Linked DNA regions of Ovis aries. The protein of the gene in region 1 interacts with the protein of each later gene in a pairwise test. Links are inferred from orthologs where the notes say so. Each region holds a gene or a part of one and is shown in the gene's direction. Other genes may lie near its edges.

Evidence for each region.
Region 2: the proteins of UBE2E2 (region 1) and ZNRF1 interact in a two-hybrid assay, tested with the Homo sapiens proteins (2 studies listed by BioGRID and IntAct). The link is inferred for Ovis aries from reciprocal best matches to the Homo sapiens genes UBE2E2 and ZNRF1.

What each region holds. Positions count from the first base shown.
Region 1 is NC_056079.1:42,012,422-42,015,931, reverse strand, and holds part of UBE2E2 (ubiquitin-conjugating enzyme E2 E2), read left to right. Parts: intron 1-2,465; 5' UTR 2,466-2,473; coding exon 2,474-2,649; intron 2,650-3,510.
Region 2 is NC_056067.1:1,851,126-1,855,323, forward strand, and holds the start of ZNRF1 (E3 ubiquitin-protein ligase ZNRF1), read left to right. Parts: upstream 1-1,398; 5' UTR 1,399-1,928; coding exon 1,929-2,352; intron 2,353-4,198. UniProt on the Homo sapiens protein: E3 ubiquitin-protein ligase that plays a role in different processes including cell differentiation, receptor recycling or regulation of inflammation. Mediates the ubiquitination of AKT1 and GLUL, thereby playing a role in neuron cells differentiation.

The sequences.
Region 1 (3,510 bases):
CTTCAGTAAAAAAGAATTTTACTTCATTTAGGTTTTTGTGTATTTGTCATCTAATGGATTGCTTCTTGTTTAAGACATATAAAAGGATTTCTCAATCGTTTCGCATATCTCAAAATATTGCCAGCAGCGTTTTGCTGCATGTGAGGGCCTTTCCCTAAGAACTACTCTTTCTTACTCCCGTGCACAGCTGTTGTCACAGGCTCTTATGTATGTACTTACAAGGGTTTAAACTCATATTATTATTTTTTTACTCAAAGAAGTAAGCTGAAAAAAAAAATCAGCGTTAAATCCAAGGATGAGAATTCTAAGTAAAATAAAAATGAAAATAAGAAAGAAAGCAAGAAATATGATAGGCCTGTTCGAGCTGGATGTGGAACATACTGATATAAAACCTCAGGATTCTATTAAGTGACCCCAGTGCTCCAGCTGAGGAGACTGTTGTGCTCTATTTAAAGAGAGGGAAAGCCGACGGGTTTCCCCTGCTTCAGAGCTGTCTGGGCAGACCTGTTTTGTCTGGCGTGAAGAAAGGGAGCTGGTGAGGGTGATGGGGCTGTATCTTGTGATGTCTTATTGAAGGTATTCAGGATTTTCTGCTGGCTCTTCGCCCCCTCTGCTTCCCGCTTCCTCAGTTCTCTTTCAGGTTTGTCTTAACCTTTCTCATTTCAACCACTTCAAGTTCTGTGTTACGAAATCACTTTGATTTAGAGCAAGCTACAAGTGAAATAGAGCGAGCTATAAGTTAAATCTTGAGTGAGAAAGAATTTTAGTTATTGTCAGCTCACTCTACATTTGGACCAGCTGTAGTAATCAAACTGCTTTATTCGAGGCATCTTTCTTTTACATAGTAAGTCTTATTTTAAGTCTTAATTTGACTAAGAGCTACACAGTATCTTTTTCAGAAGGCATTTGTCCCCATTTACCTGGGATTCCTAAAGGTGTACTTTGTGTTGTTGGTGGCGCTCCTTAAAGGTAGTTCTGTGTTTTGCAGAGAGGCGCCCCAGAAGGTAGGCGTGCCAGCTCTGGTGGTGCTGAGGGGACAGCAACATGGTGACAGTCTGGGCATGGGTTTCGTCCGTTTGGTTTTGGATTTGTCAGTAAACTCTAAGCTAGTTGGGTCACAGGGGACGTCCTCATGGTAATAAGACTCAGAAATCAATGATGATAGAATGGTCGTTGCCAAGAGAGAACTGGAATTTTTTGTGCGTTATCTAGATTGTGACAGCTTACCCATGAACCAAGGTCCTGAGAAGATTGAGTTGGTGATCAGAGTTGCATGTGGAGCAAAGGGACTTTGAAAGCCTCGAGGTATATTTCATCCCGGCCGCGGCGGGAAAGATGGGCTCCTTCAGAGTCTCCATACAGTCTTCATCGCCTGTGAAGCCTGGTTGCTTGGTGTACTGTGGGATCAGGGCTGGCACCGACCTACGGTTCAGTTTCTGTTTATTTTTTTATTTTTATTTTTTATTATTATTATTTTATTTTATTTTATCAGTTTCTGTTTAGAATCATGGAGGCCTCTGCTATCACAAAGATTACTTCAGACAGTTGACTGACTTAGAGGATTTAACCTTAGCCCAGCCGGAGGATGTATTCATGCAGTATTGGTGCCAGTGTTTGCCCTATTCTCTGCTCCTGTGGCCATTTTTACTGACTTACAGCACCTAGCAAGTCGTCTTGACCTCTGAATCAACTTGCATATCCTAGGACCCAGGAGCCCGGCACAGTGCCTGGTGGGGAGCACAGTTTTATTTTTTTCAATAACGCTTTATTGACATGTAATTCATGTACTGTAAAATCCACTCTCTTAAAATGTATAGCTCGGTTTTTAGAATATCTAGAGTTGTGCATCACCATTATCTAATCCAAGAACGTTTCCATTGCCCCTCAAGGAAACTTTGCACCTCCTAGCTTTGTGCCGTTCCCCTTCTTCCCTCCCTCCCGGCCCCTGGCGATCGCTTACCTGACGTTTCCGTCTCCATGCACTTGCCCGTTCTGGACGGTTCGGACAAATGGAGTTGTACAGTTTGCGGCCCTTTGTGCCTGGTGTCTTTCACTGAACGTCATGTTTTCAAAGTTCATCCACGACGTAGCTTGCACATACGGTACTCCATTCCTGTATGTGGCTGGATGGCATTCCATTGCTCGGATATCCCACATTTGGTTTATCTGTTCGTTGTCAGCTGATGGGTAAATGAGTTGCTTCCTCTTTTTGGTTCTGTGAATAATGTTGCTGTGAACATATTGTGTATATATATTTGTTTTCATTTCTTTTCTCAATACATTTTGAATGGATGAAGGAAAAGTTTTGGCAGCTCCCAAAGCTGTTACGTAAAGTGACCAAGTCATTCATTTTATAGTGAGTTTTCTTTGGTTCCTGTAAGATTCACTTTCTCTCTGTTCTCGAGCGACCTTTCTGCAGTCCTCCCCCAACTGAATAAATTATTTGTTTTGACTCTTTAATCCAGGATCTAAAATGTCCACTGAGGCACAAAGAGTTGACGACAGTCCAGGCACTAGTGGGGGAAGCTCCGATGGAGACCAGCGTGAAAGCGTCCAACAGGAACCAGAGAGAGAACAAGTTCAGCCCAAGAAAAAGGAAGGGAAGATATCCAGCAAAACAGCTGCTAAGTTGTCCACTAGTGCTAAAAGGTACCTCGGTTATGGTAACTTCCTTGCTTTTAGTATCAATTTATGACCTGAAGTTCTATCTTTCTCTTGCATTTAATCATTTTTCTGGGATATGGACCATGAAGTTCATGGACTTTTTCTTCTTCAAGATTATTTCTTTTTCATGATTTTAATTGTATGCAGTATGAACTTTTTGGTATTTAAAGTCAATTAAACAGCATGGCAAAATTATAAACTACGTATCCGTAGTGTGTGTGTATGTATTGTTAGGTGAATATGAATAGGAAAGTGCATGTAAAGTGTGATAATTTGTTTTATGGTTCCTTAGACCATTACTATTTTAGTTTATTGAGCAGCAGAGAATAAAAGTGGGAGTCTATTGAAATAGTTACTGAATGATTATCTTCACTCACTGTTAGTAAAGTGAGAAATGCAGGAATTAATAACAATAGAATGGGAAAGACCAGAGATCTCTTCAAGAAAATTGGTATCACTTCAAGATACCAAGGGAACATTTCTTGCAAAGATGGGCACAATAAAGGACATAAACAGTATGGACTTAACAGAAGCAGAAGATATTAAGAAGAGGTGGCAAGAATACACAGAAGAGCTGTACAAAAAAGATCTTCAGGACTGAGATAACCACGATGGTGTGATCACTCACCTAGAGCCAGACATCCTGGAGTCCAAAGTCAAGTGGGCCTTAGGAAGCATCACTACGACAAAGCTAGCGGAGGTGATTAAATTCCAGCTGACCTGTTTCAAATCCTAAAAGATGATGCTATAAAAGTGCTGCACTGAATATGCCAGCAAATTTGGAAAACTCAGCAATGGCCATAGGACTGGAAAAGGTCAGTTTTTATTCCAATCCCAAAGGAAGGC
Region 2 (4,198 bases), on another chromosome or scaffold:
GAATAGGTAAATCAAAAGCTAGTTAGATGGTTATAATTCTTATGGATTATATATTTATCTCCTCAGTAGAGATCTGGGGAGGGTATCCTCTTTTCTGCACAGTACTGAACTACCTGTCTTCTTTCTTCAGGGAGGAAACTGGGTTAAATTTAACCTTTCTTGTTTTTCTTCAAATCACTCATTTGGATCTTAGCTGTATACAAATTCCCCATTTGGAAACTTACAGATAATGTTTTGGGTATTAAAACATTGTTTTTTCCTTCATCATTTCTCATACAGAAATCTCAACTTCCTTCTGCAGGGCTTTTTGCTGCTTGCAAAGGCCGCCTATTCCTTCCAAGCTGGTCACACTGAGACAATCAATACCTATGACAGATCAACCTTTCTTTTTTCAGTTTTAATATTTCTTTGCACCCTGTTTTGGCTCCTTGATTTGGAAGTATCTGACATTTAGAACAAGGAAGTCAGTTAGACCAGGGACTGAGTGACAGACAGTCCTAGGCAGCACTCAGCACTTAAAAAAATAGCTGTTGAACAAATGAATGAACGAAAGAATGGAATGAGTGAGTGAATGTGAATATGTGAGGGAGACATTGCAAAACGCAGACTCGGTGAGCAAATATTGGGTACCTGCTGTGTCCCAGGCCCTGCGATGCATACCTGGATAAACGGTAAACAAAACAGGAGTCCTTCCTTGAACCAGGGAGTTTCTAAAATCACTAGTTCTAGCTGCATTATTAGATTTCCACGTCTGTTATTTTTTTTTAATCGTACACCTGATGATTTTCAGAGTCGCATTTTATCTTAAGGATCTACCCATTTGCTTAAGTCCAAAATAGGAAGTTCTGATCTATTGGCAGCAAAATCTGAAATCACAAGCAACACCCCCCCTACACACCCCCCAGCCCTGTTTAATCCCGGAAAAACTATCGAGCCCCAAAACGCTAAACTTCCTGGTGTTGGGGATTCCAGGACATTGAACCTCAGATAGAACGGACAGCAAGTCCACCAGAGGGTGCTGCGGGGGCAAATTCGTGCCGGGAAGGGAGCTTGACCAGTGACCCTCGGGGCTAGGTAGGCGTCTGGAGTCCTTTTTCTTCTTCCCCGGGTTTCTTTCCCACCCTTTGGACCACCGCCGCCCCTCCGCCCACGGGGGGATTCCCCCTGAATGACCAGCTGCTCTTGGGGGCTTAAAGGTGCCGCGTCGCCTCTGGTCCTGAGCTCCAGCGGCTCGGACCACGCCTGCCCCGGGGCCATCGGACAGGGCAGGGCCGGGCCGGGCGGGGCGGGCGAGGCGTCCACGCCCCGAGTCCCCGCCCGGCGCCGCGCGGGCCGCGAAGGGGTTAACGCGGGGGGCGGGGGCGGGGGCGCCGCCGCGCCTGCGCGCTGCCGCCCTCCATTGTCTCCGCGGCGGCGAGGAGCGCCGGCGAGCGCAGCCCGGGAGCGAGCGGCGCGGCCGGCGGGGCCCGCGCGGCAGGGCCGAGAGCGCGACGCGAGCGCGGCTTCGCGAGCTCCGCGGGCCGCCGGCGCCGCAGCCCGCCCGGGCCTCGGGGGTCCGGGCCGCCGTCCCGGCCGCGGCGTCTTGAGGCGGCACGCGCCGGCGCCCCCGCCCTCCTCCTCCGGCGGCCGCTGCCGGGCGGGCGGCCTCCTCCCCGCGGCGCCCGGCCCTCGGGAGCCCGGGGGCGGCCTGGGGCGCGCCGAGCCCGCGCGCCTCGCCTCTCCGGACCTTGAGGGGAATCATGCGCCGGGCTCGGGACGCCTGCAGCCCGTAGTCTGGGTCCTGCTCGGGTCCTCTCTTTTTCCTTTTTCCCTTCCCCTCCGGTCTCCTTTTTGCTCCCCCGTATGCCCGCCCAGCCCTGCCCCCGCCGCTGAGGACAGGGGGAGGGTCTCGGCCTGCAGGCTCCCGCCCCGCCGGGGCCCGGGCGAGCATGGGCGGCAAGCAGAGCACAGCGGCCCGCTCGCGCGGCCCCTTCCCGGGGGTCTCCACCGACGACAGCGCCGTGCCCCCGCCGGGAGGGGCGCCCCACTTCGGGCACTACCGGGCGGGCGGCGGGGCCATGGGGCTCCGCAGCCGCTCGGTCAGCTCCGTGGCGGGCATGGGCATGGACCCCAGCACGGCCAGCGGGGTGCCCTTTGGCCTCTACACCCCCGCCTCCCGAGGGACCGGCGACGCCGAGAGGGCGCCCGGCAGCGGAGGGTCGACGTCCGACTCCACCTATGCCCACGGCAATGGTTACCAGGAGACGGGTGGCGGTCACCATAGAGACGGGATGCTGTACCTGGGCTCCCGAGCCTCGCTAGCGGATGCTCTACCTCTGCACATCGCACCCCGGTGGTTCAGCTCGCACAGTGGTGAGTCCGCGGGCGCCAGAGGCCTCGGAGGGTGGGGTGCCAGGGAGGGCGCGCCGAGGTGCCCCGCACCTTCGCACGCGTGCACGCAAAAGGTCTGGAGGTAAAAGTGCGGTACCTGGATCTGGCTGTCGTCCTCTTGGTTCCCGAAGCCAAGGGATGAATGGAATACCCACTCTCTAGAAATGAGGCTTTCTGAGAGGCCGAGGAGAGCCAGGTGTGTGAGGACTTCAGGCGTTGGTTCACTTGTGGATGCCTGTTGAAGTCTCATTCATTGGCCTCCCCGTCCTCAGAGAAGTCTGGCTGGTCGCAAGTCGGCCTCCGTGCTTCCTTTCTGTTACTGCTGCATTGTGCTGGGTGCACCGGTAACACAGAAGGGATCCAATTGGACCGAGCATCTCAGACAAAGGATGTGAAGAGAAGATTGGGGCCAAGTGGGGTTTGGATGAGGGCACTTGCTCTTGCTGGAGAAGTGGGTGCCCAGTTTTGCGGCTGTGCTGGAAATCTGAATTGTTTAAAATGGAGCGGCCGACAGGCTGCTGCCATAGACAGGTGTGGCCTGCTGGTCGGAGGGCGCAGCCAGGGAGCCTCCCTGGGAGGCTTTGCGTGACTGGGGCCCTGGTTACCCGTGCTGCATGCAGTAGCAGCCTTGGCTCAGTGTCTCTTGGATCCCTCCATCTTTCTTCTTCTCCTCCATGCTGAAGTGCTTGGGTATTCTGCATCTTCTTGTGACCAAGACATGGCAGTTCTCTTGCACTGCTGTTGGCACATGTCGGGGGGAAAGGAGGAGTCAAAGGACCTGGATGAATTCATTTTGTGAACTTCTGGTGACAGGTCAGCAAAAAGCTGGAGGAGGATTTCCTAGACTCTGGCAGGGCAGAAAAGACACTGGCAGGAGCTTCTGGAGGAAAACAGGTCTGTCTGCTTAGCTAACCTGAGAAACCAGGTTAGGCCTCCAGAAAATTGGTCAGAAGGGGTGTGGGGCTGCTATTTACTAATTGGCGAGTTGGAGTAAAGAAGTTAACATATTCAGACTCCTTTGGGCGACTTCAGAAAATTTAGATACTGTGTAGAAGAAAGATTGCTCTATGGAGGATTTATCTGTTGGATCACTGCTTGCTCTTGTGAAATAGGGGAGACACTTTGGATCTCTATTTCTGGAAATAATGTTAATTTTTTTTTCAGTTCTTTAAACCGATTGTGAAATGAGTTTTCGGGAGGAATAGTGACTAATTTAGGGTAATCCTTGAAAGTGGCTTTTAATTGCTAGGATGGAATTTTAATCCCTGAACAGACTTCTAGATATAATTTGGACACTGCCCTGAAGAGATGTAGGGTGTGATTACCTCTGGCACTTTCAGACATCATTTGATCAGCTTTAGACATCTTAAACTTAGTAATCTTCCTTATAAAATTTGGTCCAGAAAGGGTCAGGTGTATTTTTGAGGTGATTGTAGTTAAGTTTTTAAGAAAGCTGTCATTAGTGTCTGAGTTTAAACAGAAAAGCACTATAAGACAGTTCTCAAAAGTCACAGGTAGAATTTTGTGTGTTGCAGGAATGTAATCTTAGAGTAGGAGTTCCCTTTTTCCACTCAAATTTCTTTTCTTTTACCAGAAAGTTCTTTTTCCTTATTCCGCCACCAGGTTCCATGCCAGAGTTATGAGCTTGCATTTGGATTCTAAAATTCAGACTCTTCAGCTGTAAAACGTTAATTTTTTTTTTTTTCCTTTTTCCAGCTAGAGGTTAGGAAGACCTGCTGAACCAGGGACTACAGGGAAAGTTGAAGCATATTAATCCCTTGAGGGATTGACATTGAAGTGTGTGTTGGGGGGGGCTGCTGTTAATATT